4 linked regions of the Diceros bicornis minor genome follow. The protein of the gene in region 1 interacts with the protein of each later gene in a pairwise test. Links are inferred from orthologs where the notes say so. Each region holds a gene or a part of one and is shown in the gene's direction. Other genes may lie near its edges.

Region 1 (7,876 bases):
AGTGCGTGAATTTAACCACTATGCCACTGGGCTGGCCCCTGGTCCCTTTTCCTTTGGGTGGGCAGAATGTAAGAAGTTCACTACCACTTCTCAGCCTGTATAAAAACTATTAAAAAACAATAAAAAATAAAAAACCATGAAAGATCCTGAATAGCCAAAGAAATCTTGAGAAAGAACAAAGCTGGAGGTATTACACTTCTTCATTTCAAACTATATTACAAAGCTATAGTAATCAAAGCAGTATGGTACAAAGTCCTAGCCAGAGCAATTAGTCAGGAAAAAGAAATAAAAGGCATCCAAATTGGAAAGGAAGAAGTAAAACTATCACTATTTGTGGATGATATGATTTTATATACAGAAAATCCTGAAGACTCCACCAAAAAACTATTAGAACTAATAAATGAATTTAGTAAAGGTGCAGGATACAAAGTCAATATACAAAAATCTGTTGTGTTTTTATATACTAACAACAAACTATCAGAGAAATTAAGCAAACAATCCCATTTACTATTGCATCAAAAAGAATGAAATACCTAGGAATAGATTTAACCAAGGAGGTAAAAGACTTGTACACTGAAAACTATAAGACACTGATGAAAGAAATTGAAGAAGACACAAATAAATGGAAAGATATTCCATGCTCATGGATTGGAAGCATTAATATTGTTAAAATGTCTATATTACCCAAAGCAATCTACAGATTCAATGCAATCCCTATCAAAACTCCATTGGCATTTTTCACAGAAACAGAACAAACAATCCTAAAATTTGTATGGGACGACAAAAGATCCCAAATAGCCAAAGCAATCTTGAGAAAGAAGAATAAAGCTGGAGACATCATGCTCCCTGATTTCAAACCATATTACAAAGCTATAGTAATCAAAACAGTATGGTACTGGCATAAAAACAGACAAACAGATCAATGGAACAGAAGAGAGCCCAGAAATAAACCCATGCATATGTGATCAATTAATTTATGACAAAAGTGGCAGGAATATACATGGGTAAAGGACAGTCTCTTCAATAAATGGTGTTGAGAAAACTGAACAGCCACATGCAAAAGAATGAAACAGGACCACTATCTTATACTATACACAGAAATTACTTTGAAATGTATTCAAGACTTGAACGTAAGACCTGAAACCATAAATCTCCTAGGAGAAAACACAGGCAGTAAGCTCATTGACACTGGTCTAGACGATGCTTTTTTGGACTTGATTCCAAAGGTAAGGGCAACAAAAGCAAAAATAAACAAATGAGACTATATCAAGCTAAAAAGCTTCTGCATAGTAAATGAAACCATCAATAAAATGAAAAGGCAACTTATTGAATGGGAGAAAATATTTGCAAATCATATATATAATAAGGAGTTAATATCCAAAATGTATAAAGAACTCACACAAGTCAATAACAAAAATCAAGCAATTTGATTACAAAAAAAAGGAGTGGAGGATCTGAATGGACATTTTTCCAAAGACATATAGATGGCCAAGAGGCACATGAAAAGATGCTCAACATCACTAACTATTAGGGAAATACAAATCAAAACCACAAAGAGGGGACAGCCTGGTGGCGCAGTGGTTAAGCGCGCGCGCTCGGCTTCGGCGGCCCAGGGTTCGCAGGTTTGGATCCCAGGCACACACCGATGCACAGCTTGTTAAGCCATGCTGTGGCGGCGTCCCATATAAAGTAGAGGAAGATGGGGATGGATGTTAGCCCAGGGCCAATCTTCCTCAAGAAAAAAGGGGAGGATTGGCATCTGATGTTAGCTCAGGGCTAGTCCTCCTCACAAAAACAAAACAAAACAAAACAAAAACCCCACGAACAGATATCACCTCACTCCCATAAGAATGGCTATTATCAAAAAGAAAAGTGGGGGCCGGCCCGGTGGCGCAAGCGGTTAAGTGCGCGCGCTCCGCTGCGGCGGCCCGGGGTTCGCTGGTTCGGATCCCGGGCGCGCACCGACGCACTGCTTGGTAAGCCATGCTGTGGCGGCGTCCCATATAAAGTGGAGGAAGATGGGCGCCGATGTTAGCCCAGGGCCGTCTTCCTCAGCAAAAAAAAGAGGAGGATTGGCGGATGTTAGCTCAGGGCTGATCTCCTCACACACACAAAAAAAAAAAAAAAAAAAAAAAAAAAAAAAAAAAAAAAAAGAAAAGTGTTAGGGAGGATGTGGAAAAAAGGGAATCCTTGTACACTGTTGGTGGGAATATACCAACAACAAGTATGGAGGCTCCTCAAAAATTAAAAATAGAATTATCACATGATCCAGCAATCTCACTTCTGGGTATTTATTCAAAGGAAATGAAATCAGAATCTCAAAGAGATTTCTGCACTCCCATGTTTATTGCATCATTATTCACAATAGTCAAGATATGGAAACAACCTAAGTGTCTGGCTAGAGATGAATGGATAAAGATACAATGGAATATTATTCAGCCATGAGAAAGAATAAAATCCTGCCATTTGAGACATGATGGAGGGATCTTGAGGGCATTATGCTAAGTGAAATAAGTCAGAGAAAGACAAATGTATGGTATTACTTATATATGGAATTTAAAATAAAGTTGATCTCAGAGAAACAGAGGGTAGAATGATGGTTGCTAAGAGTTGGGAGGTGGGGGAAATGGGGAGATGTTAGTCAAAGGGTATGAACTTTCAGTTATAAGATGAATAAGTTCTGAGGATCTAATGTATAGCACGGTGACTATAGTTAATAATACTGTATTGTATAGTTGAAATTTGCTAAGAGGGTAAATCTTAAGCGTTTTCACCACACACAAAAAGGTAACTATTTGAAATGACAAGTGTATTAATTAACTTGATTGTGGTAATCATTTCACAGTGTTTATTAAATCATCACATTGTACACTTTAAATATATATAATTTTATTTGTCAATTATACCTCAATAAACGTAGAAAAAATTAAAAATAAAATCAATGGTATTTGTTTTCAAAAATAGTTTCTGCAATGGTTGAGTAGTGTCTTGTGTATAAACTTGTATCTTTCCTCTTGCTAAAGCTAATTTTTAAAACACTATAAAATTGTTTTAATTTTTTCATTGAGGTATAATTTTCATACAATAAAACTCACCCTTTTTAGTACACAGTTCTGTAAGTTTTGACAGACACATAACACCACTACAATCAAGACATAGAACTGTTTCATAACCCCTCCAACATTCCCTCCTGTCCCATCGTAGTCAACCCTTCCTCTCACCCTCAACTCCTGGAAAGCACTGATCTATTTTCTAACCCTAAGTCTTGCTTTTTCAAGAATGTCATATAAATAGAGTCTGGCTTTTTCCACGTCTCATAATGCCTTTGAGATTCATCCACATTATTGTGTGTATCAAGAGTTTAATCCTTTTTATTGCTTAGTATTCCATTTATGCCTATACTATATTTTGTTTATTGATGCACCAGGTGAAGGACATTTGTGTTGTGTGCATTTTGGGGGAGATATGAATAAAGCCACATGTGTTTTGTACAAACAAACATTTGTGTACAGATTGTGTGAACTTGTCTTTATTTCAGGTGAATAAATACCTAGGAGTGAAATTACTAAACTGCATTTTAAATGTATGTTTAACTTTATAAAAAAGATCAGATTGTTTTTTGAAATGTAAATCACCAAGATGAGATGTCATACCCATCCCTGATCACAAATGGGGATGGAACCTGGAGAGTGGAGATGGTAATGTAAACCTCCAGATGCCCAATCTAACCTATCATCCAGTTCTGTAACACCAATATACTCTTTCCCCATTCCCACATCCTCACCTCTCAGAGGAAGTAGAATACATTTAGCAGTGTGCATAAAAGCTTATTGTTCTGTGAGGCCTCCCATGCTCTCTGTTATTTTCCTCTATCAGGCAGAATGGCTGATCCGAGACCAGCGGCAATGATGTCTGAGATACGGTAACATCAAGAGAACTTCCACCACTTACTTTGCCTATTACCTCCTTCTTTTCCTTCCCTCTGGAAGGAAAGATAGAACGTTGATGCAACAGCAATGAGTCTAAAGGGAAAAATTATACTGGCATTGACTAACAGATCTTGTTTCTTTACCTAGTAGGGAATGAAACATGCATATAATTACCCCTATTACAAAGTAAGAATTAGTAAATACCATGAGTTCCATTAATTATGCGTAAAAACCTGGATCTGTCCCAACCAGAGGACTGTCTTTGCCCTTTTCCGCTTTTAGTGTTCCTTCTGATGTTTTTGTTGTTGCTCTCTTTCTTGAATTGTACTTCTTTTGGGATTGCTCATTGCATATGCTGTTTCTTAGCCTAAAATAGCTTTCTCCATCTTCTCCTTAGACTAAAATTTCTCTCCTAATCACTCCTTCTTCCCAGGGGCCCCAGTAGGGCTGACTGCACCCCCAGCACTTAGTTTTAACCTGGAGCAATTACCACTACTTCCTTCTGCCTTCAGTGGGAGGTCTGTTTTCTTATTCTCTATAGGAACCCACCTCTCCGGTCGCCTATCACAAGGACGCTGCCCAGAAAACGTTCTGGTGAACCTGAGGCCAGGGAGGGGGCCGGGAAGAAAGCAGCGCTGCTCCTCCGGGTACCCGAGCACCCGGCACCCGAGCACAGGGAGGCCGCCCCCAGTGTCATTCCGAGGCCATCTAATCCGCAGTGAGCGCCCAGTGGTCAACACACGAACGGCTCCTGGAGCAGGCTCGCCAGGCGTGCCGGTGAGCCCGGCGCGCCGCTAACTGTGCAGCTGGCGCCCCCGCCTGACGCTGGAGGCTGCGCGCGGCCGCCCACCATCGAGGCGACGGCGGCTAGAGAGGCCGGCGGGCCCCGGGCGCCGCGGCGGCGCGGCCGCAGGGTACGCGCGCCGGGCGGCCCCGCGCCACTGGCTTTGTAGCCATTTTAGGAGGAGACACGGTTTGCTAGCTGGGGCGCGGCTTCAACTTTAATAACTTTATTGGTGGCGTTATCCGTAGAGCAGGCGTCGCGCCAGTGGCTGGGGGAGGAGGGCACGCCTCGCGGGAGGTGATTGGGGGTGGGGGCGTCCCTGGGCAGGGAACGCGGGGATGCAGGAGAGTCGCCGAAAGCGGGTTTCCTGAACAGCGGGCAGCGAGGGAGTCGAGGGTTTCGGGCACTCCTGGAGGCCAAGGGAGGGAGGGGACCCCGGGGCGCCGCTGCCCTGGGGCGGGGATTCCCTTGCCTGGGTCCCCAGGGGCGGGGCCGGGGGCGCCCCTGACGCTGCCACTGGGGTGTTCCCCGCTCCGTGTCGTTCCCTACGGCAGGTGGCCTCCGACTCGAGCTGCAGCCATGGGAAACACCACCAGCGACAGGGTGGCCGGGGAGCGCCACGGCGCCAAGGCTGCGCGCGCCGAGGGCGCCGGCGGCCACGCTCCAGGCAAGGAGCACAAGATTATGGTGGGGAGCACTGACGACCCCAGCGTCTTCAGCCTGCCGGACTCCAAGGTGAGCGTCCCCACGCCTTCAGTTGGTGGCGATGCTGCAGTGGGCTGGGTGTCAGGGCGCCTCCTCCCTTTCTTGGTTCTTTCTTATCACACTGACTTGGGTTACAGTTTTTTGAATTAAAGGGATTTTTTGGAGACGAGATGTTGGATGGTAATTCCTCTTGCGGTGCTGCCTTAAGATAGGATAGAGGCGGAGTTCTTGTTTTCCGACTAATCTGTTGGCCACATTTTTAGGATTGGGACAGTGGACCCCCCCCCCCCTTCGAATACAGGTGCTCACTTCTAGACTATTGGTGAATTTATAGGTTATAACCCTGGTGGAAAACTTCAGAGGGTTAGGTTGCCTGAGTTGCTAACCGTAGGCGGCAGTGTCTCAGATTTGCCCTGAGGTGGTTAAATGAATTTCTTTTTCCTGACAACTTCTACGTATCAGTATCCTTTTTGCTCCACTGGGAGCTCAGCACTTCTGATCCTCTTCCCCTTTGGCATGGCAGTGAGCAGCAACCACTTGCTTATTTGAATACTTTCTCCTAATCTTGGGGACAATAAAGGACATCATTTCGCTGACTGCTCCGTTTTCATCCCATACTTTATAGTTGTGGCTGAGCTTGTGCTTCTTTCACACTCAGCTGCTCCTCAAGTGGGAGAGCAAATGATTCCAGGATTTCTCCACTTCTCAGTCGTACTTCATAATGTTACATGGCTGAAAACTGACAACCCACCGCTGCCCTGAAGACCTTGCTCTCAATTCCAAAGACTGAGGAAAGTGGCAACTTGTATCCACCCTAAAGAAAGGATAGATGGAGCTAACAACAATGTGATTACCATCTGAATGTTTCTCATCACTTTTAGAGCTGTCAGCATTAAATTAATTCCTCCAGGTAGTCCAACTGGGATGAAGTAGAAAAGTGGAGAGATTGAGGAGATTGGGGTGTGTTTGACGTTTCTTGTCACTTCATCCCTTCGCACCCAACTTGGGTTTTAGAAAGTATATAGAGAATGATTTGCCTCGTTGGTAGCACATGATTTTGGATTCTGTTTGTTTTCTTGGATCCCAATTGAGAACATAATCACAGAAAGAGAAGCAAGGGTGATTGAAAGGACCACTTCTTGGTATTTCTTCTCCATTCCTTTTTCCTTCTCCCACTTCAGGACTACTTCCTCATCATTTGGGCTGTCTACCCAGCCATCTGAATTTACTTCTTCAAAACTTTCTCAAGGTGATCGACCTCATTGTATTTTTACCCTTTTCCTACATTGATGACTCAGGATTTAAGTATAGTGTATTTGTCAAACTGTGACCGCAGTAATCAGTGTCCTGAATAAAAGCCAAGTTGCTCTATCTGAAATGGAGCCTATTTTGGATCATTCTTACTCTTACCTCAGTCTTGCCGTTTGTGAAATAAGAAAATCAGTTCAGATAATTCCTAAAGTCTCTTCCAAATCTAAAATTTTGTAGTTCTCAATCTACTTTCTTTACTTCTTCCCTCAATGTTTTATTTGAACATTTTCAAACTATAGTTCTAATTGTTTTGTCTCTTTTCCTGATGATTTTGCTGACTATTTACCTTGGAGTAAACAATCTTTCTGCTAGTCAGCTGCACTCATGCCTACCACAGAAATGTCATGTCATATGTGGAAGGGCTTCCTTCCAAAGCTAGGCATATTAATAGTTTGTAGCTTTCAACTTCTAAACTGAAAATACTAAATCATCAAAGTAACTGATAGAAACAGTGGCAGTGGAGCCTACATTGCTTCCACTGCCAGCCTTCTTCAGTGGACTAGTTCAATGGTTCTCAATTGCACATTAAAGTTACCTAAATTTGTTTAAACACTTCATGGAAAATTTGAAACATTTTCCATGTTTCAAAGTAGAGAGAAAGTGTAATAAACTTTTAAACTTTTAGTTTAAACAATGATCAAATTGTGAATGAATTTATATCATCTATACCCCAATCTACTCTTCCCCCACCAATTATTTTGAAGCAAATTCCAGACATTGAATATTATTTTACCTATAAATATTTTAGGATATATCTCTAAAGATGAGGTTTCTTTCTTTGTTTATTTTAAAATAATCACAGTATTATTTTTCTGAGAAACTTTTTAAAAATAGATTCCCAGGTCCTATATCCAAATCAGAATCTGAGGGTTATTCTTAGGCATATGTGAAAATTTCTGTAATTCTAATGGAGCCAGTCAAGCCTCTTGCATTGCTTTAAGAATATGGAGGTCAAGGTTTTCTCTTAAGCCGCTTCCTTACATAATGTGAAAGTCCCTTCAATTCTCTTTCTCCGTGTACTTTGGATTATGCTGCTACTGATGTCTCATAGTGTAGTTTTGAGGGATATTGAGAGACAATATGGAAGGTAGATTACCTCAGCCATTTTGAAAATAAAGCCCAAATGAAGAAGCTAGCCCTTTTTTTT
Region 2 (7,731 bases), on another chromosome or scaffold:
ATACAACTGTCTACTGGGGCTTTGGGGGGAAAATAAATAAATAAATAAAATCTTTAAAAAAAAAAAAGAAAAACATCTGAAACAATCAACAAACTGTTAGACATAATATGAGAGTTCATGGAATTTTCCAATTATAATATTAACACAAAATCAATAGCATTTGTCTACATGAGCAAAGCAAATAGAAAAAATTATAGAACATAAGATACTATTCACAATACTATAAAAGCTATGAAATGTTTAAGGAGTACATTTTAAATAGTATTGTCAGGGAAGACCTCTCCAATAACGTAACAATTGAGATGAGACCTGAATGAAGTGAGTTCCGTAAGCAGATATCTGAAAAAAGAGCATTCTGGGCAGAGAAAACTGCAAGGACATATGACTTCACACCTTTGAAATCTTTCTTCCTTTCAACATCAGAATATTTTTCTTTCTGTTGAGTTTGGTCGTGTTTTAACATTTAAATATTTTATCCAAGTTAAGAAGAAATTCTCAAATAATTCTTTTATAGCCTTGGCATAGGGCAGTTGTTTTTTTTTTTTAAACAAAACTTAAAAGCCAAATAAGAAAAGATTGATGACATTTCTAGAAGGCCAAACCAACAATAAGCAAAGTAGAAATACAAATGACAAGTTGGAGTAAAAAGTATTTTCATCTCTCTTCTCCAGACCCTACAATTCATCTGGCTGAACCCCCTCATCCTTAATACTCAGCTCAAGGGTCATTTCCTCCAGAAAACCTTCCCTGATGCTCACCAAGGGCATCCTTCTTTGATGCTCCTACACTTGTCTGAGCATCCTTGTGTCACTGTTCTCATCACATTCTTTGGAAATTAATTGTAAACTGGATTTGTGTGTGTTAATCTTTTCTTCCCAATTAGTTTGTAAACATCAAAGGCATGGGATTTTTGATGTGAAATTACATGAGATAACATAGGTGAATTTCTTAGCACCATTCCAGTCTTTCATGCGTCTGCTACTTTCTGACTGTGTGACTTTGTGTAAGTCACTTAAACTCTCTGAATCTCAATTTCATCTTCTGTACAGGAGGATGACATTAATGCCAATTTTATAGTGTTGCTTTGAGAATTAAATGAGTTTGTGCATATGAGAAATGTAACTATAATTGAATATAATTGAATACATCTAACCCAGTGTCAGGCACAGGGAAGGCACCATTTTAATAAATGTTCACAGAAGGAGTGAGTGAATCCTATAGGGAATATTTTGTTAGAAGGAAGCCACCCTAGCTCTGTGGTGGATGGGTGGCTGTCTCTGGAGACAGAAACCACAGGAGATCCCAGGGGAAGGCAGACCTCCCAGGTACACTCTGAACAGTAGCCTGGGAAAACCAACTCCCAGGAGCCCATGTGGGGGGCATTTCTATCTCCCTCCCCAATCTGTGCTATTCACACAATAAGAAGGAAGTCTCTGAGGACTCCAGCAGAAATGAATAAGTCTAACCTGCCTCCCGCACTGCTTCCTGAAGAGGAGCTGACACACAGGAGAATTGAACCTGGTCCTGTTAAGTGCTGATTTTTCCAGGCATTCCATCTCCTCTGCCCAGGTATTTGTCTATCCACGCTGTCCAACAGAACTTATTGCAGAGATGGGAATGTTCCATACATATGCTGTCCAATATAATAGCCACTAGCCACATGTGGCTATTGAGTGCTTGAAATGTGGCTAGTCTGACTAAATAACTGATTTTTAAATTTTATTTAAAATTTAAATTGCACAATGTAGTTCTGTACAAATGTTTTTGTTGGTATTTCAAATTACCATTTGATGAGAACCTTCTACATGCTACACACACTTGTATAGATTATTTACTACACAGCCTCCTGATTTTCCTGGCTCTGATCTACTCTCTACACAGCAACTAGAGCAACTAACCAGGTCCCTGACTGGGGACTTAAAATCACTTAAGTGATTAAAAATCTGTCAATGAGCTTCTGTCACTTACAGGATCCAGTCCCCCACATATGAGTTCTCCAGAATCTGCCCTTACCTACTGATTTACCACTCCCGCCTTGCTCTTCACCTCTGACACACTATTCTTTTCTTTGCCCATGCTCTTTTTGTTGACTCAACGACCCTTTCTCCCTGTACTACCATTTTCTTTGCCCATCTTACTCCTACTCGCCCTTGAAGAGTCAGATCAGATACTCTCTCCTCCAGGAATTTTTCCCTGAACAACCCTTTACCTATCCCCTGTACCCCAAGCTCGGTTGTGTGCCCTTCCTCTGGGCTCCCACAGCCTCTCATGCTTTCTTCTATCAGAATATTGATCATTCTAGGTTGTAATTACTGATTAAATCTCTTTTTCCCTTCTGGACTACGTGCTCCTAGAAACCACAGACAGTGTTATACTCACCTCTTTATCTCCAGCATCTGCACAGAGTCTGGCTCAGAAGAGGAATCAACGGATGTTTAAGTGAATTATTCTAAAACGTGCTAGGTTCTTTATTTGCTAGATTTAAACTTGTCAAATGCATTTTAATCCATCATCCCATTCGTGACTTAGAGCACTCTTTGTGGTAGGCAGGGCCTTTGTCTCAGTTTGTTGGAAAAGGAAACTGAGGCTCAATGAGTATAAATGATTTATCCAAGATTATAAAACTATTAGGTCAGAGTTTGAGTAGAACCTGGGTCTTCAAACTCCTTTTTTCCATCTTCCTATACTTAATGAAGCTCCTTTGTCCTCCTCAGCCCTCAGCAACCCCTCTCACACTGAAATTCCTACAGCCCTCACACTCTTTATCAGTCATTAGGATTGATTTGTGAAAGCTCGTGTGTTTTCATCTTGATAGTTGTGTTATCATGGCTTGTGAATTTTAAACTTCTTAAACGTGAGGGATATTTCTGAGGGGTATTTTCATGTACCTTTCTGTAGAAGATTGTTGTGGTGCCCACACCTTATCCCTGATTTCACTGCAGGCGAAGGGATAGTTCCATGCATGTTGCCAGCATTCCACCCCAAAAGCTTTCTGGGCCCTCTGCTTTTCTGCCTCAAGGCTTTCTCTCAAACCCTGGAAGGCTGCTTAGACCTGGGCAAGCAAAAGCAGAAAATATGAAAGAGTTTAAGCTGGGGGCTGGAGGTAACCCTCAACCAATGGGGGTGGAAATTAAGAGGTAAATGACCCAGTCTCCTTGTTCTTTAGTGGGACAGTGCTGAGGCACATTCCACGTGGTTCTTCAGTGTGTCTCCAGTAGACAGTAAGCCCAGTCATCTACTAAATGAGCAATCAGCTCAATAACACATTTTTTCTTGGCTTTTTCCCCTTACCTCTTTCACTCTCTCCACCTCACTTCTGTTTCCTGGGCTTACCTCCCAAACAAATTACCAGCACCCAAGTCCTTGCCTCAGGCTCTGCTTTTGAGGAACTCAAGTGAAGACACTACTTAACTATACAGGAGCTTCTTTAGAGACAACCATTTGCCCTATGTGGTTTGTACTCTAGCCATACTGGGCTTCTTGTAGTTTCACTGCTCATCCCTACACTCTGTGCCATGGCTCATGCTGCTCCTTCTTCCTTGCATACTCTTCTCCTTTGCCTGGCTGACAGCTATTCATTCTTCAAGACTCAGCTAGGGTGTCCATTCCTCTTTGAAGTCTTCACTGGTCCCCGCCCACCCCCAATTTAGAGTTCCATCTCTATAATCCTGTAGCACTTCGAACACTAATTAACCTCTAACCAAGCCATTTTCTCTCTTTCTCTGTGAGCGCTTTGAGGAGAAGGGGCCTACCTACCAAGGTAGTTGTTAAAAAATTAAGCGCTCAATAAAACTGGTAGGAATGTGTAGGAGTGAATTCCGGAATCATTTTTCATTTCATAAACATTTCCTGAGCGCTTAATTTGCGTCAAGCACTATGCTGTATTATGGAGTACACAAAGATGAAGAGACCAACCCCAGGCATCAGGAAGCTCACCCTCAAGTGAGGAAGACAGAAGTAGCTAATGCAAAGAGCATTGTTAAGTGTTATTAGAACAGGGGTGTATGGGGAACTGTGGGATGACAGAGCAGCTCAGGAAAGGGTCATGTTCTAGCTCGGTCTTAGAAGATACTGGCGATTCCCCATGAAGAGATGGGAAAGGTCATGCTAGATATATTGAGGAATACCCCAGCACAAGGGAAGCCTTTTCTAGAGTCGGTGGCAGGGGCAGTTGTAAAGCGGCGAGGAGCCCGATCTCGGGCCTCTGGGTGTTCGGGGTGAGGTGGGTACAGAATTATTGATTCTCAGTGCATTTCAGTTGAAGACATAAGTTATCCAGCACTTCGACCAGGGCCAGGCACACTGGGGGGAGAAGCGCTGGGAAATCAAGAAACCTGTCTCATGCCCCCAGAGTTGAGCACCAACCAAAGAAAAGCCAGCCCATCTACCTCTGCGGTCAGCAGGAGGACACACGTCGGCGGCATGAGAGGGCCATCCCAGCAGACCTGCCTAGTCCTGGAACCCCAGAGGCGGCTGAGCATGCTCAGTTGCCAGGACGCCGTGGCGGGGTTGCGGTGGAGAAGCGCCGCGGAATTCCCAGCCCCCCAGGCGCCCGGCCCCCGAGGGCTCGCGAGCCGCGGGGGCGGGGCCTCCGACGCACGCTCCCTCCTCGCCCGCCCCCAGCCCCTGCCACGCGCCTGCCGCCCGGGCGCCGGCCGCCCGTTGCCCTGGCAACCGTCGCGCCGCGTCTTCCTGAGGGAGCTCCTGTCAGCCCGCTGATCCCATCGCCCGCTCCTCACTGCCCCGCGATTTTTGCGTGGGCTCAGAGGCGGAGGGACAACAAAAAATGGCGGAGCGGAGCCAGACGGCGCCTGAGGCAGGTCTGTGGGGGCGGTCGATCAGGGGAAGCGGTGAGGCAGCAAGGCTGTCCTGGGCCTGAGGGGACAGGGGACTTGGGTATGGCCCTACTCCTGAGGAGGCAGCCCCTGGGCGTTTGCGCGGTGGGGCTATGACCTCGGGGTCAAAGGTCAAAGGAGGTGTGTACCCCTCTGCGGGACGAGCAGATACCTCGGAGTCCCGGTGGTGCGGGGATGTATGAGGGAATGTGCACACTCCTGAGTGAGCATGGCCCAGAAAGGGCTGGGATCCCAGGAAGACACAGAACCCCAGTCCTGAGGGGCGCTTGTGATGCGGGCTGATGGTGGGGTAGGCTGGGTCATGGAGAAGGTGTACACAGTCCTGTGGGAATATGGGAAGGCTCCCTAAAGGGGCATGGTTTAGAGGAGAGGGTCTCATTCTGAGAAGGCAGGTGTATGTGGAGGAACGTTACTTTCATATCAGGCAGTGCCATGGAAGGGGGGTATACACCGAGTATTGTGTTTTGGGGAAATGTAGTGCCTTAGGGTCAGCCCAGGCCACAGAGAAAGTATACAAATCCTTGCATGGGTCCTTAAGAGAACAAGAGACTTGAGGGGACACCCAGAGCCCCAGTCCTTCAGAATCTTACCAAAGGAGGCTGGAACCTGAGTGTGAGTGTATGTGGGATCAGTGATCTTGAAGGTCATTCAGAATCACAGAGAGGTGCATGTCCACATATCTGTGGGTGGAAGATAGCCTTTAAGGTGCAGGGAGACTGACAGGAAGGGAGACCCAGGATCCTATTCCTGAGGGGACCCCATTGTGAGTATGGTCAGGCTTGGAGAGATAGTGACCTAAGTGTCTTAGAGGGTTATAGACGAGAGCCAGGGTTTTCACAGTCCTGTGTGTGTGAGAGGGAGTTTGTCCCTAGAAGTGGCTGGTGACTGTAGAACTGGAGCCTCAGTACAAATGATATATGTGTGTGTGTAGAAAAGCAGTGGCTTTGGGGATATATGTGGTGGTAGGTGATGGCAGAGGTATACATAATCTTGTATAGGTGTCCTGATTAGGTATTTTGGTTACAAGAGTGACCCACTTGAATTATCCAGCCCTTGTGGGTGGGGAAGGTGGTGATTATGGTAAGACCACACAGTGACTGAAACTGGAAACTGTATGAAGCCATCAAAAATGGTTCAAGACCCGAATGGTTTCTCTTTTTTTTCATGGCACCTCTGTTTCTTCCACCAAGTAGTTCATCTACTCATTTTGTAGTTTAAGCTTCCTCATAAGTTGAACTTGCTCATTCTTTTATTCATTCCTCCACTCAACAAATATTTATCGAGGGCCAACTATATGCTGTGCACCAAGTTAGGCACTGGAAACTCCCTGCCTGTGATTCTCTTACCTTGTTCTTTTTTTTTCTTTCCCATAGGCTTACTGCCTTCACACGTATTATTTAATCCTCTTATTTTTATTGCTTATTGCTTGTCTTCTTCCACTAGAATATAGGCTCCATGAAGCCAAGTGTCTTTGTTGTGTTTGTTAAGCCCATGTATCTAGAACTGTTCCTGGTATAGAGTAGGTTATTAATAAATATTTGTTAAATGAATAACTGAATGACCTGATATTGTCTAGAGGTTCAAGAAGCTTTCTCAGAGAAAGTGATATTTTAGCTGAGATATAATGGAGATTGAATAAATGAAGAGAAGGGCAAAGAGTAATCTAGGCAGAGGGAAACTACCTGCAAAGACCCTAAGGTAAGAGGAAACAGGATGTGCTGTGTTTAAGGAACTGAAATGAGGCAAGTGTGGCTGCATATAGAGCAATAGGAGGAGAAAAGAGGTAAGCTGAAGCAGATCTTGCAGGGCCTTATAGGTTATGATACCAATTTTGGTCCAAAATCCTAATAATAAAAGGAAACCATTGAGGGCTTTTGAAAGTGGGAGCATGACGTGATTAGAATCATTAAAAAAATAACTCTGGCTACAGTGTGGATAGTGCAGAAGATACAAGAGTGGATATTGGGAGACCTCTTAGAAGGTAGCAATGGAGATGGAGTGAAGGAATTGAGAAACGTTTAAGAGATAAAATTAATAGGACTTAGTGAAAGATGGGCATGAGGGAGAAGGAAATATCAAGGCATACTTCTAATTTTCTAATTTGTGCAACTGGATGGTTGGTGGTGCCATTATGGAGATAGAGAGCATTTGAAGGGATCTTGGCTAAGTTTGAAAGGGAAGGACATGAGTTTGGTTTTGGACATATGGAGTCTGAGGTATCTTTGAGACATCCAAATAAGTGGAGAGATTGACAAAGCAGTTGAATTTACAAGAAAAGTTTGGGTTAGTATAGAGAGAATTGCTGAAGTCATGAGTGTGGATGAAATTGCCTAGAGGCAAAGTAAAGAGTGTGGGGAGAAGAGGCTTGGGATTAAGTGTTGAGTAGCTGCAATATTTTATTGCCTTCCAAAGAGACGGAAAAGGGACAACCAGAGAGATAAGAGGACAACCAAAAGAATGGTTTGAGATAAATGGCATATTCAACAGATTGAGTGCTGCCAAGTGATATAAAAAGGAAGATTGAAAAAGTAGATTTAGCAGCAGATTTAGCATCACTGGTAACCTTGATGAGAGAAAACTGATGAAGGTAGGAGCCAAACCATTTAACTTCTGAATCACTATTAACTGGCTTAATCTTTGTTTCTTTTTTTTTTTAATTTTATTTATTTATTTTCCCCCAAAGCCCCAGTAGATAGTTGTATGTCATAGTTGCACATCCTTCCAGTTGCTGTATGTGGGATGCAGCCTCAGCATGGCCAGAGAAACGGTGCGGCGGCGGTGCACGCCGGGGATCTGAACCGGGGCCACCGGTAGCAGAGCGCGCTCACTTAACCGCTAAACCACGGGGCGGCCCAATCTTTGTTTCTTAATTCAG
Region 3 (7,205 bases), on another chromosome or scaffold:
GGCCTTGCAAATTGTCCCTAGCAGGGCAAGTTCACAAATCTCCCTGTTTCCACTCTCTCCGGAGGTTTCGATGAAATGTCACCGCTCCTTGGAGAAGGGAGAGAGGACAGAGGGAACCCGTGCTCTGGGGCTGGGAGAACAGGGCCTTCGGGAATTCTCCAGGGCTGGAATCCCAGTTCCCCACCACAGCCTGTGTGTGATCCTGGGCGAGTCATGGTGCCCATGCCTGAAGATGTTCTCATCTCTAAAATGGGAACATAATAGTAATACAGTGTCTATGTCCCAAGGTTATACTGAGGACTGAATGACATCCTGCATAGAGAAGGCTTGTGTATTGGTTATCTATGGCTGTGTAACAAGTTACCTCAAAACTTAGCAGCTTAAAACAGTAAACATTTATGATATTATACAGTGTCTGAGGGACGGGAATCCAGGGGCAGCTTTACTGGATGATTCTGGCCCAGGGTCTCTCGTGCTTATAGTCAGATGTTGACTAAGGTTGGAGAATCAACTTCCATGGTGGCTCATTCCCGTGGCTGTTGGCAGGAGGCCTCAGTTCCTGGCCACACAGACCTCTCCATGAGACTGCTCGAGTGTCCTCGTACCATGGCAGCTGGCTTTCCTTGGACCAAGTCCCAACCCTGGAAGTCACACTGTCTTGTCTGCAATATCCTATTGGTCGCACACATCTGCCCTGCTCAGTGACAGGGAACAACACGAGGGTGTGAATACCAGGCTGAAGATTACGGGGCACTACCGAGGAAGGCTGTTGATTCTTAGGATTGAAAGTTGTTGTTCTTGCTTTTATTATTATTATCAGCACTGAGCCTTCCCATGACTTTCCTATCAAGTCTTATAATCCAAGTCATTTTCTCCCTTGATCTCTCTGCTCCCGTGACACTGGACAGCTTGTTTCTCCTCCAACAAGACAAAACGATTCCAGCCTCCAGGGCTTTGCACCTGCTGTTCTCTCTGCCCCGAAGCCTCTTCCCCGAGATCTTCACTGATAAGAGTCCTTCATCTTGCAGCTCCAAAGTCACCTCCTTCCAGAGAGGTCTTCCCTGGTCATTCATCTAAATTAGATGCCTCATCCTCACCCCAAACCCCATCACTCTCAGATGACCCCGTTTAATTTCCCTCAGAGCTCTTGAAAGTCTTTGAAAGGATTTTGATTTTCTAAAAAATCTCTTTCCTTGTTCACTGCCCGTTTCTCTGACTGGAACCTGGAAGTTCAATCCTGTGAGAGCAGAGAGGCTGTGTGTCTTATTTCTTGCTATATCTCTAGTTCCTAGAGCATGGTTGACTCTCAAAAAATATTTACTGAGTGGACAGTAGAGTCAATTTATAATAAATAGAACTCTCCCTCCCAAATGGGGGGTGAGAAGGATGGGACAGTAAGTGAAGGAAGGGGCAGGACCTAAATTAATGTCATCTGTTTTTTATTCATTGGCTTATTTTTCAAATATTTATTGGGGGTCCTGGAGACCCGGCAGGGACTGGGGAGACAAACAGGTAAACAAACTTATAAATACGTCATATTTAATACACATGATGTCCTGCAGAACAGGAGAGAGAAAGAGTATGTCTGTGTGTGTGTGTGTGTGTGTGTGTGTGTGTGTGTGTGTGTGTGTGAGAAACCCAGTTTAGGGTGTGGGATGGCTCCCCCGGGAAGTGATATTTTGAGCTGTGTCCTGGAGGAGGAGAAGGGTGAGCTGCTGAGGGGGGTCCGGATCAGAGGAGTCATTCCTGGCCCTGGGAACAGCTTATGCCAGCATCTGGAGAGGCCGAGAGGTTTCCTGAGGCCAAGCTAACGAGGGCAATAGGAAGCCCTAGAAAGGTTCTCATGGTTTTTTTCTTTTTAGTTCTTATCATTGTTTTTGTTTCTGAAAAGATAACACACACACGGTTCAAAAGTGATACAAACTGTATAAACAAGGTATGGATACAGCGCACCTCCCCAGAGGCAGCCACTCTAACCACAACGTGTGTCCTTCCTGGCAATTTTCTATGAATATATAAGCACATATATACATATATATGTATTATATATATATTTAAAAGAAGGTAGCGATTACATATATAAACAGATGTTATATATAATATATAAAATATATAATAGATGTTATAATATATTTTATATATTTATATTTTTAAGTTAAATTTATTTTTGAATAAATTAAATATATTTATAAATACATAGTAGATAAATATATTAAATATATATGTAATCACTACCTTGTATTAAAAATCACAAATGGTAGCATGCTATATACACTGCTCAGCACCATATTTTTTTCCTTTGACTATATATAATATATATTGTATATGTACATATTATATAATATATATTACCAAATTATACATAATATATATTGTATAATACACATACACACACCACACACCCCTATTGTCAAAGTGTAATTTAAAAATATTTAAAAACCTGACTTTCAAAGATTTATTTAAGCCATTAAACGAGGGGACCAGCTGTTTCAAAGGAGACTTCAAGGAACAGAGATTAATACAGTTATTCAGGAAACGAATAACTGCTGAAAAATGTTTGCCAGGTTAGATAGGAAACTGGTTTAAGTCCTACAGGGGAACCAAACTGTATCCTTTGAGGTTCTCTTTTCTATCAGTGGAATCATTGGCAATCAAACTTCTAGAAGTTACTATTTACCTTGTCAGAATAATTAGGAAGTAATTAGTAAGTACCCTAATCAATAGTGAATGATAAATCCAACAAAGACACAGTTCTCTAGAAAATGAAATGATCCTTGTGTGGGTCTGTAGGACAAGCCTCCAGGGGGACCTGGAAATGACAGGCTGTCATCCTTTTGTCTTATTGCCAAGCTTAGGATGATTTTTCTTAACTATATACTAGAGATCTTTTAAAATCAATTCATAGAAAGTAGCCTCCTACTTTTTAATGACCATATAGTATTCCCTTGCACACATGTACCGTAATCTACTTAACATAACTGACTGAATTTACACAATTTATATAATTTATTTAATATATCCCCTTTGGTGGGCACATAGGCTGCTTCTACATTTTGGCGATTTTAAAGATGCTGCATTAAAAAAGAAACATCTACTCGTAAATAACAACAATGATCACCAACAATTGCATAGGACTTACTCTGTGTCAGGCACTATTTTGAGCACCTTAAATGGACGTTAATGCATTTAACCCTCACAACAACCTAAAGACATAAATGCTATTTTCATTCCCATTTTCTGATGAGGTCACTGAAGCACCCAGTGAAGGTGAATTGCTGGGAGAAGGAAAAGATGGCCTTTTTCTTTGATAAATATTTCTAATTTGTTCCGATCCTCGCTGCTGCCGACCTGACACGAGTGTGCCTGTTTCTCCACACTGAGGCCAGCCCTGGAGTCATCAAACATCTTTTATCTGGGCCAGCCCAGTGGGGCATAGTGATTAAGTTCATGTGTTCCGCTTCGGTGGCCTGGGGTTCACGGGTTTGGATCCTGGGCATGCACATATACACCACTGCTCATCAAGCCACCCTGTGGCGGCATCCCACATACAAAGTAGAGGAAGATTGGCTCAGATGTTAGCTCAGGGGCAATCTTCCTCACACACAAAAAAACAAAAAGAACCTCTTTTATCTTTGCCAACCTGATGGGTCAAAAATGGTCATGGAAGATCATAACTCACTGTCATTTTAATGTACACTCTCTTAGGGTGACCAACCATCCCAGTCTGTCTGGGACTCTTCTGGTTTGGGAGCTGAAGGTCCTACACCTCTAGAAGCCCCTCCGTCCCAGGCAGACCCAGAGAGAGCTGGTCACCCTACTCTCCCAGATTCTGCATGAGGCTGAACATCTCTTCCGGGGTCATAGAATGAAAAGATCTTGGAGAGGGAGTGACAGGATCAGATTTTTTAATGGACAGAGTAGGAAGAAGGGCTTCCATGTAGGATGCCCATTACAGCTTCAGCTCTCTGCTTTACAGACAGGCTCTCCATGAAGCTTTGACAACCTTAAGCAGAGGGTCGTTTTATGGGTAGGGAAACTGAGGCGCAGAGAGATAAATTGCCCAAGGTCACATACCCAAGAAGAGACTGAGGCAGGATTTGAACCTGAGCCTGCCTGTCACCACTGTGTGAGTAACTGGAAGTGTTTGAGCATTGCCCCTTCTTCTCTTACAGGCCCCTGTCCTGGGCCCCAGTGTCTGTGAAGATCATGATGGCGTATATGAACCCGGGGCCCCACTATTCTGTCAACGCCTTGGCCCTGAGTGCCCCCAGTGTGGATTTGATGCACCAAGCTGTGTCCTACCCGAGTGAGTACAGTCCTTCTCCCCACCACAGGCTGGCCCCCACCTCTTGGGGGCCTCTGGGGTCCCTTGCCTTCAGGAAGAAGATGGGCACTTATAGGGATGACTGACAAGGTGGCTTTTCAATCATAGAGCCATACACCAGCCATATGTGTTCATCTGCAACTGCAAAACACTACTCCGTGTCACCTAGGGAGCCAGGAAAGCAGAAGGACATTCATAGACATTTAGGGTAGTGGTTCCCTCTGGGGTGACAGAGGGGGAAGCGATCTGGAAGGGGGACCCAGAGGAAGTTCCATCTGTTAGCAATGCTTTATTTCTAAGAGAAGTGAGCACTCAGTTTTTTGTGGCATTATTCTTTAGTTGTTTTTTCTCTTATTCAGTTGAACATGATGGACCTGCCACTTTTATAGGCTAGAAATGGTTAATTATCTGCAATGTCATGTTTCAACTGAGTGCGTCTTAGTGCATAAGAAATTTTAGAAAGGGGGTGAAAACCAAGCTCTTACAGCTCCTTACAGGGCTAAAGACAGGTCTCCTCAGAGTGAGGCCTGAGCCCCATCATGACAGGCAAAGAGGGACCCCATTTCCCAGATGGACAGAGTGAGGTCAAGAAGGTCAGAGAATAGGCGCCCCCTCAGATTTGGCAGATAAACACCCAGAAAGGGCTTCTTAGCGTCCCACGCACCCTCAGGGCCTCACACCAGCAGAGGAAGAGAATGGGAGGCCTGGATCCCCCTGAGGGTCCCATTTTCCCGTCCTCTCCCCAGGCGCCCCAAGAAAGCAGCGGCGGGAACGGACCACCTTCACCCGGAGCCAGCTGGAGGAGCTGGAAGCCCTGTTTGCCAAGACCCAGTACCCGGACGTGTATGCCCGCGAGGAGGTGGCTCTGAAGATCAATCTGCCTGAGTCCAGGGTTCAGGTGGGATGTTCTGGTCCCTGGGCCCCTCCTGGCCCTTCCTGGGCCCAGAGTGAAAGGAAGAGGAAGAGATCATAGAGTAACAGCCAAAGTCATAAAGGGCCCTAATAATCCCTCATCCCTGTTATTTCACTGGCCTCCTCTCTCCCACTCTCCTCCATTCCCATCCCTTCTCACTCTACTCTGGCGACACTGTCCCCTTGTTCTTCCTGTAATGTGCCCGCCAAGCCCACTCCTGCCTCAGGACCTTTGCACTCTCTGTTCTCTCCACCCAGAACGTTCCCCACCACCTTGTTCAAGTCAGCCAGTCAACTCACCTTGTCAGTCAGTGAGACTCACACCGGCCATCCCACTTAAAGTTGCCATCTTCCCCCGACCCAGCTCTACTGCTCCCCCATCTTGATCAACAGGTTCTTCCATAGCATTTATCACCTTCTAAAATACAATGTGATTTACTTACTTACTGTTTATTTGTAATCTGGCTCTTTCAACTTGAATGCCAGCTCTGCTGATGTATCCTCAAAGTAGTAGAAGATGGTTAATGTGTGTTAATTAACTGATTGGATGGATGGATGGATGGATAGGTGGACGGATGGGTGGGTAGATGGGTGGATAGGTGGATGGATGGATGGGTGGGTGGGTGGGTGGGTGGATGGATGGATGGATGGATGGATGGGTGGGTGGGTGGATAGATGGATGGACGGGTGGGTGGATAGATGGATGGATGGGTGGGTAGATAGAGTGCCCCATAACTGATTGCAAACTGGAGAAGTATGATTCTGGCATGTCTCACCAATAAGCATCATCATTCCTGGGCACCACGAGGGCTCTCCTGGGCCTCCTGCCCACTCACTCACACGATTTCCCCTCTTCCCCCCTAGGTTTGGTTCAAGAACCGCAGGGCCAAGTGCAGACAGCAGCGGCAGCAGCAGAAACAGCAGCAGCAGCCCCCAGGAACACAAGCCAAGGCTCGTCCTGCCAAGAGGAAGGCAGGCGCATCCCCAAGACCCTCCACAGATGTCTGTCCAGACCCCTTGGGCATCTCAGATTCCTACAGCCCCCCTCTACCTGGGCCCTCAGGCTCCCCCACCACGGCAGTGGCCACTGTGTCCATTTGGAGTCCAGCCTCAGAGTCCCCTTTGCCTGAGGCCCAACGCGCTGGGCTTGTGGCCTCGGGGCCTTCTCTGCCCTCAGCGCCCTATGCCATGACATATGCCCCCGCCTCTGCTTTATGCTCCTCCCCCTCAGCCTATGGGTCTCCGAGCTCCTACTTCAGTGGCCTGGATCCCTATCTCTCTCCTATGGTGCCCCAGTTGGGGGGCCCAGCTCTCAGCCCCCTTTCTGGCCCTTCTGTAGGACCCTCCCTGGCCCAGTCCCCCACCTCCCTGTCAGGCCAGAGCTATGGCGCCTACAGCCCTGTGGACAGCTTGGAATTCAAGGACCCCACAGGCACCTGGAAATTCACCTACAACCCCATGGATCCTCTGGACTACAAGGATCAGAGTGCCTGGAAGTTTCAGATCTTGTAGAAGATACTCTTCTCCACCTCTTGTCTAAATCTGCCTCCCTACAGCTTAGATACTTGGACAGCGTCCCTGAGAAAGAGCAGGAGCTAGCGGTCCTTCCAAAGGTTGTGGCCTCTTTGGTTTCGTGTGTGGCTTAGCTGAACACGGCCCACCCCTTTCCTCCCTGGGAGAGAGGCTCCTCCCTGTCCTGGGGCAGCTCAACAGGGTCTTAGTAATTCTCTCAACCCCAACACCATCTCACGTGGATTCTAACTGGCATATTAGACCATGAACCCCAGACTTCAGAAAACTGGTGCTGAGAACTAGCCCGGAGACGAAAGTAAACCAAGCTTGCGGTTGACTTGGGGGTAATGCTTAGGTCTGAATCGAGATGCCCTTGAACAAACAGGTAGGGAGGCTCGATTCCTTAACTTTCGATTTGGGACACTTCTTTAGCATACGGCTAGAGATCCTTCTAGAA
Region 4 (7,648 bases), on another chromosome or scaffold:
GCCTGAGCCCTGATCTTTAGTACATGGGATTTGACTCCTGCTGCTGGCCACTCTGCGTCCTGCAGTGAGGCTACCTCTCTGGTTAACCTCCAGGTAAAGAAAGAAATAAAAGTTTCCAGCCAAATAAACTAGACTGAATCTCCCTGCCTGTCTGCCTCCCTCTCCTACCTCCCTATCCACCCCCACCCCACTCCTACACCACTGGAAACAAACAAACAAAAACACAAAACAGAGTAATCCTGAAGCCAGGTTCTGCCAAGCACTGGACAATGTTCTTACTGGCTTCTCTTCCAGATATCCCTGGAGCTGGGTCAAAATAGTAATTTCCAGTCTATAGTTCTGAGGTCATTTATTGATTCAGCACACAAATATTTCCCAAGGCTCTACCATGTGCATGACACTCCACTCTGCTGGGCTCAAACACACCTCCTCACACCCCTTCAAAGTGCTCAAATGCCAGAAGATTCAGATAAGACCCCAAATAACTCTAAGGTAGACAAGAATATTATTAGTCAGTGGGACAGGGGAGTTGGTAATGAGAGTCAGACAAGAGGAAGAGTGCTTTCTGAGTGGAGCATCATCACATAGGAATTTAGGGAGGAGGGGGCATTTGAGCTGAGCCTTGAAGAATAGGGAGAATTTGAACATTTTTTATGGATAAAAACAGTCTAGACAGAGGGAACTGCATAAGCAAAGATAAATTTTTTGGTAGAAAGAATGTCGCTTTAGGAGTCAACAGACCTGAGTTTGAATCTCAGTTCTGTCATTTACTTCCTTAAAGAATACTTTCCCCTCTCAGGTCCTTAGTTTCCTCATAGTAAAATGGCATTATTAGGCTAGCTAACTTTTAAAGGTCCTCTATGTGCTTCCATCCTGACATAGTTTTTCAAATATCAGGTAGACCAGTTTGCCTCAGGATAGAATAGGTGAAAGAGAATAACGTAAGGGTAATTGAGTCTGTGTTATGATGAGTATTGAATGCCAACCTGGGAGCCTGAGCAAAGAAAGAAAATAGAAGTCAAGCCCCAGGGCCAAGCCCTGAGGTCGTACATTTAGCAGGATTCCAATTTAAGAACAGGAACTTTGAAGTCAGGGTGGCCAAAGATGGAAACCTAGCTTTATTACACACCAGTAGTTCATTTAAATAGTCATTAAATAGGCCCAGTGGCGCAAGCGGTTAAGTGCACGCCCTCCGCTGTGGAGGCCTAGGGTTCACGGTTCGGATCCCGGGCACGCACCAATGCACCGCTCAGCAAGCCATGCTGTGGCGGCATCCCATATAAAGTGGAGGAAGATGGGCATGGATGTTAGCCTAGGGCCAGTCTTCCTCAGCAAAAAGAGGATGATTGGCAGATGTTAGCTCAGGGCCGATCTTCCTCACAAAAAAAAAATAATAATAATTAAAAAATAATAATAAATAAATAGTCATGCCACCTCTCTGAGCCTCAGTTTCTTCATCTCTAAAATGGAAATGCTAGTAAATAACTCATGGGGCTGTTGTAAAGATTAAATGAGATCATGTGCAAAAAGTGCATATAGGTATGTTACTTTCCTGCCCCTTAGTCCCTTCTCCCCAGTGCCAGGCTTTAATTAGTCTTTGCTGTTCCTTCTCCTCTTTCTCCTTCTCCAAAGCAGGCTTCAAAGTATATCCAGAATCCAACCACTTCTCTCCATCCCCAATACCATTCACCTGGATTATTGTAATAGCCTTTTAATTAATCAGCCTGATTCTATTTTGCCCACTTACAGTCTATACTTTATTTTTTCCTATTAAATACAACTTTATTGTTTTGGTTGGACTACATTTCCTTTTTTTTTTATTGCGGTAACATTGGTTTACAACATTATGTAAGTTTCAGGTGTACATCATTATCCTTCGATTTCTGCATAGATTACATCATGTTCACCACCCAAAGACTAATTACATTCCATCACCACACATGTGTGCCTAATCATCCCTTTCACGCTCCTCTCTCCTCCCTTCCCCTCTGGTAACCACCAATCCAATCTCTGTCTCTGTGTTTGCTGTTGTTTTTATCTTCTGCTTATGAGGGAGATCATACAGTATTTGACCTTCTCCCTCTGACTTAGTTCACTTAGCATAATACCCACAATGTCCATCCATGTTGTCACAAATAGCTGGATTTCATCGTTTCTTATGGCTGAGTAGTATTCCATTGTGTGTATATACCACATCTTCTTCATCCATTCATCTCTTGATGGGCACTTAGGTTGCTTCCAAGTCTTGGCTATTGTGGATAATGCTGCAATGATCACAAAGGTGCATGTATCTTTATGCATGTGTGTTTTCATGTTCTTTGGATAAACACTCAGCAGTGGAATAGCTGGATCATCTGGTAGTTCTATTTTTAATTTTTTGAGGAATCTCCATACTGTTTTCCATAGTGGCTGCACCAGTTGGCACTCCCACCAGCAGTATATGAGAGTTCCTTTCTCTCCACATCCTCTCCAACACATGTTGTTTCCTGTCTTGTTAATTATAGCCATTCTGAAGGGAGTGAGGTGATATCTGATTGTAGTTTTGATTTGCATTTCCTTGATATAAAAGACAACCTGACAACTGGGAGAAGATATTTGCAAAGCATATATCTGATAAGGGGTTAATATCCAAAGTATATAAAGAACTCATGCATCTCAACAACAAAAAAAAACTGACAACTCAATTACAGTCTGTTCTTAATACAACAGCCAGAGTAACCCTTTCAATACTTAAGTCAAATTATGTCACTCATCTGCTCAAAATGCTACAATGTCTCCCTACCTTACTTAGAGCAAAAAGTAGAATCTTTACAATGATCTACTCCCTTTTAGCTTTTGGGCCTCATTTATTCTTTAGCCACACTGTCTTCCTTGCTGTTTCTCCAGTAGAAGATAGACATTCTCTTTTCACTTGTTCCCTCTGTCTGGGTCCTCTCCTCCTAGCTCACTCCATCACCTCCTCTATATTTTATTTAAATGTCACTTCTAAGTGAGGTCCTCCTAGACTACCACATTTAAAACTGCAACACCCCCTAGCATTCCCTATCCTCCTTCCTGCTTTCTTTTTCTTCACAGCATTGATTATTACCATCTGATATACCATAAAATTTAATTACTTATTAGTGTTTTTCCTGATTAGAATATAAGCTTAATAAAGTCAAGGGCTTTGTCTGTTCACTGTTTACATCTCCACGCATAGAACAGCACCTAGCACTAAATAAATACTTGTTGAATGAATTAATTAATACAGTAGTCTCATACTATGTATCAAGCACTAAGTTAAGCAGTTTGCATACATTATCGCAGCAAATCCTGCCTTGCAATGCAGACACTGTTAAGATCCTTATTTTACACAAGGAAAAACCTTGAAACTCCCAGAAGTAAAGTGATATTTCCAAAGCCAAAAAGGGAGTAGTTAATGGGGGTGTCAGGCTGGGTTGGACTTTATAGAGTAGCACCTTCCCTGAGTAGGAGCACAGCCTGGACTAAAGGTTGTGGCAGGTTTTGGGAGGGGGGAAGGGATGGGGAAGGGTGGGGGTGGAAGAAACACTGGGATAGAGATTGGTTTTGTGGTCAGGAGGTGATCTGGTTTCTGGAAGAAAAATCTTGAGTTTATTGGCATCTACTGGCAAGCCCATGTCTTTTTCAACAATTGGAGCTTTACAAAGGAAATCTCCTTAAGCGTAAAGAAAATTGGGAGCTGTAGCTTCCTTGGATTTCAGACTGCAGGAATTTGGCTGCTTGGTGCACTGGCTTTGAGGCAGAAGCCATACTTGGCAGAAAGAGACACCCGAGACTAGTGAACTGATATGAAAATAAGAAAGCCCACTACTCACATGGTTCTTCTCCCTCTTTCCTTCCCTTTTTCATAACCTACTCTCTTCATATTTCTTTAATTTGTGCATATTTGTAAAACATCCAATTAATCTAGCCTGTCATCCACTGGAATGTAACCTTAGGAAGGCAGAGCAGAAATGTTTGTCTCTTGTTCACGTCTGTATCCCCAGTGCCTACAACAGTGCCTGGCACACAGTAAGCATAAAATATATAGTTGTGAAATGAATCCCTATCCTTACACACAAAGCCCTCCTCCTGGGGGAGGGGGCAATGAGGAGAAGGGAAAGCTCTTGTCAGTGGTATTATGTACCAGTGCCATGTCAAGTACTCCTGCCAGGGAATGTGGGCAGAGGGGATACCATGGATGCAGGCTGGGTGCGGGAAGATCAGTGGAAAGGGAAGAGACGCTCAGGGTAAGGACTGAATTCCAAAAAGCAGGACTTTGACCCTGCTTCTGCAGTCTCCATCTCACTTTGGAGGGGGCCAGTCAGAAACCTCTGGGGGAGCTCCTGCCTCCAAAAGCCCAAGACTAGTGCTATGGGGAACAGATGGACAAAAGCCAGAAAGATGAGACAGAAAGGCCCAGGAGCTCTGGGAGAGGGAGCAGAGTGAACAAGTCCCTGTGAAAGTGAAATGGCCCTTCATTTGAATGCAAATGCTATGTAAAAGCCTGAAGCCCCTTGATGTCAGCCCAGCCATTGGTGGCCCATCTATACTGGGCTACCAGTCACCTGGAAACAGTCAGGGTAGGAAACGCGGGATGGAGTAGCCTAAGGGGGGCAGAGGAGCTTGCAGCACAGCTACGGACTGACCTATTGATTCCCCGCTGCTTCTCAGAGTCAGGTTGGGGCCTTACAGGGATTTCAGGATGGCTTAGAGAGTTTCTTCCTCATACCCAAGCCACCATGTACAGAAGCTGCCTTTTGGAAAAAGAAGCGGGCATGTACCCGGGCACTCTCAGGAGCCCTGCGGGGGGCGGCACCGCTGGGGCTGTCGGCACCGGGGGCGGTGGGAGTCCGCTGCCAGCCTCCAACTTTGCAGCGGCCCCAGCTTACGCACACTATATGGGGTATCCCCATATACCCAGCATGGATCCTCACGGGCCGCCGCTGGGAAACTGGGGCCCACCCTATAGTCCCCCTCGGGGAGACTGGAGCGCTTATCCAGGGCCATCAAATACAATGGGCGCGGTGCCCATGAACGACATGACCTCGAGCCCCGCAGCTTTTGGATCGCCGGAATACAGCAACCTGGGACCCGCGGGCGGTGGAAGCAGCAGTGGCAGCCTGCCAGCCCCAGCCGGCGGGTCACTGTTCCCCATCGACGCCAGCACCGTCAGTGTCAGTTCTCCCAGCAGAAGTCGTCACAGCCCCTATGCGTGGATGCGCAAGACTGTGCAGGTGACTGGTGAGTAATCGATTCTAATGCCCTCACACCTTTCCTTCCTTTGCTTCTCGTCTACTTCCCTTGGCCTGCCCGCCCTCCTACTCCTCGGGCCTCTCCTGAGACAGCTTAGCTGAGGAGACCACTGCGTGGCTGACTGCCCAGGGCCCCCGCCCATTAGTGACCACCCTCGCGTGTAGCCCTGCTCAAAGCCCACAGTGTGTGGCACTTGGAATTAAACCGACCTTAGGGGTGTTTTTCATCATTCCCTGATCAGTCAAGGAAGCAAGCGGGTGAACAGTGGGCATGTTGAGTCACAAGGATCAGCATCCAACCCTGTAGTTGCCCAGATGGGAAAGCAGATGCACGGAAAAGATCAAAGGGTGAATGAGGCGAAAAGATAGCCACGGTGTCCGGAGGCTCAGTCACTGCTGCTTGCCCGTTGCATTTCAAACTCTTCCCTACGTGGGCGAGTCGGCCTCTCCCAAAATCTCGTGATGCTCAACTTAGCTTCACGGTGCTTGGCTGGCAACAGACCCTCCAGTTTAGCCACGAATGCCCCAATGGCAAAGCGGCCTCCTCACCCTGGCCTCTCAAGGAAGCTCCAGCTTCCTTCGCCCAAGTTGGCAGAGGTGAGCTGGACTCAAACCCAATGCCTTCTTTCAATGTCCTTTCCGCCAGTGGAGGCATTGAGGAAGGGTACAGCACACCGCATGGACATAGTAAACTACTCAAACCCTAACATCCGCTGGGCGCGCTCGAATATCAGCCCCAGCACTAAGTGGTTAAAGCCCTCATAACTGTCCCGGCAGGCGTCCCGAGGCGCAGGGTTTGGATGCAGGTCAGTGACCGCGCGCGGTGAAGGCCCAGAAAGCCCAGCCTAACGCTGACCCACGCTCCTACCAGCAAGCCAGTGGGCGGCTGCTGGGACCCGCGGGCGGGGGAAGTGGGCACTCTGTTTTAATCTTGGACGAGGTGGTAGGCGGGGAGATGTTTGTTTTCAGCTGTAGTTGTTCTTTTATCACATTCTTATTATTCCAACCCGTTGCTCCCTGTGACTCGAGAAAATTAGTAAAATTCGACTCCATCACTTTCATCCCTCTGGGGAGGAAATGACATTTCAATAGCATCTGTCCACAATGATTATGCTCCTGTTCACAATTCTGCACTTCTTCTCCCTTCCAAAAAGTAAAGGTGGGAGGGTGGGAAGGGATCAACTTTTACCATTAAGAGGATTCAGCCGGGAGGAGGCAGTTTAGGACATACTAGGGCAGCAATCTCAAAGTATAAGTAGAGCTTAAATACTTGGCTTTAAAGTGTTTGGAAGTAAATCTGCATTTTTTAAAAATATAGGTGAGTCGGCTGACTAAATAGAATAAATAGAAAATGAGGTTAGGGTGGGGCATACTCAGGGCTGTTATTACATCTAATCTTAGGGTTGTAATTAACGTCCATTCACTAAGCCCTAACCATTAGCAACAGACAGGAAAGTAGCTGCTCCCAGTCCAGGATTAAGTTTTGAAACACTTTAGAAGAGGAAAGTTATCTGTATGTTGTTTGGAAGAGAGAACGATGGGGAAAAAGGGACAAGATAAAAGAAATCTTGAGTCATGAATTTTCTGTTTATAAGAGAAAATACGACAAGTTTCTCTGCTTAAAGTCTTCCATTTGGATTTGCTTTTATGGGCCAGAGTCTCTCTCTTAGGTAATTCTGGTGCCAAGAGAGTTTAGAAAGAGACTACTTAGTCTGTGGTATCGTCATCATTAGTGAAGCTATGTACCTGGCTGTACAATGCCACCTTCACAAGATTTTCTATCCAACTTCTATGAGAAATTTAAAATTGAATGATTTTGGACCTCCTTTGACTCCTGGCAGCCTATCCTATAGATGAGACTTTATTAAATTCAATCATTTTAACGTCCTATAAATTAAAACTACCACTTTGCTATATTTTTGTAGCCCAAGGTGCATATTTAGCAACAATTTAAGAATATGATGGAAACTATGGACCCTCTCCCCAGAAAAATGCACAAAAGCACACCTGCACGCACACACGCACACACACACATCATTTTAAAAATAATTTTGGGATATTCATGGATCCACTGAAGCCCTTTCATGGATCTCAAGTTATGAACTCTACAAAAAAATGAAGCTGATCATCTCATTGGATCACTCCAAACCAAAATGCACCCATTTGTGTGCTTAATACATAGTGAGTATTAAATAAATATTTGTTAAATGAATGAATGAGTCGGATTCTCCTAAATTTTCTACTTCACTCTATAGTATTGTGGGACAACATTTGGCTTATGGCTGAGAAGAAAATAGATGAACTACAAAATGGAAGTAACCTCTCCCTGATTAAGGTAATCAAATGAAAGCTCTTTCCATTACTGAAAAATGTTTTAAATAGCGGTGAGTTAA

Evidence for each region.
Region 2: the proteins of PRKAB2 (region 1) and BEND5 interact in binary tests that used the Homo sapiens proteins (3 or more experiments, as listed by UniProt). The link is inferred for Diceros bicornis minor from reciprocal best matches to the Homo sapiens genes PRKAB2 and BEND5.
Region 3: the proteins of PRKAB2 (region 1) and CRX interact in binary tests that used the Homo sapiens proteins (3 or more experiments, as listed by UniProt). The link is inferred for Diceros bicornis minor from reciprocal best matches to the Homo sapiens genes PRKAB2 and CRX.
Region 4: the proteins of PRKAB2 (region 1) and CDX4 interact in binary tests that used the Homo sapiens proteins (3 or more experiments, as listed by UniProt). The link is inferred for Diceros bicornis minor from reciprocal best matches to the Homo sapiens genes PRKAB2 and CDX4.

What each region holds. Positions count from the first base shown.
Region 1 is NC_080743.1:52,464,997-52,472,872, reverse strand, and holds the start of PRKAB2 (5'-AMP-activated protein kinase subunit beta-2), read left to right. Parts: upstream 1-4,867; 5' UTR 4,868-5,010; intron 5,011-5,176; exon of another isoform or gene 5,177-5,267; 5' UTR 5,268-5,292; coding exon 5,293-5,448; intron 5,449-7,876. UniProt on the Homo sapiens protein: Non-catalytic subunit of AMP-activated protein kinase (AMPK), an energy sensor protein kinase that plays a key role in regulating cellular energy metabolism.
Region 2 is NC_080752.1:12,544,461-12,552,191, reverse strand, and holds the start of BEND5 (BEN domain-containing protein 5), read left to right. Parts: upstream 1-4,721; 5' UTR 4,722-4,786; coding exon 4,787-4,820; intron 4,821-7,731. UniProt on the Homo sapiens protein: Acts as a transcriptional repressor.
Region 3 is NC_080773.1:23,297,773-23,304,977, forward strand, and holds CRX (cone-rod homeobox protein), read left to right. Parts: upstream 1-4,200; 5' UTR 4,201-4,206; coding exon 4,207-4,306; intron 4,307-5,070; coding exon 5,071-5,222; intron 5,223-6,100; coding exon 6,101-6,748; downstream 6,749-7,205. UniProt on the Homo sapiens protein: Transcription factor that binds and transactivates the sequence 5'-TAATC[CA]-3' which is found upstream of several photoreceptor-specific genes, including the opsin genes.
Region 4 is NC_080781.1:66,733,497-66,741,144, forward strand, and holds the start of CDX4 (homeobox protein CDX-4), read left to right. Parts: upstream 1-4,645; 5' UTR 4,646-4,742; coding exon 4,743-5,244; intron 5,245-7,648.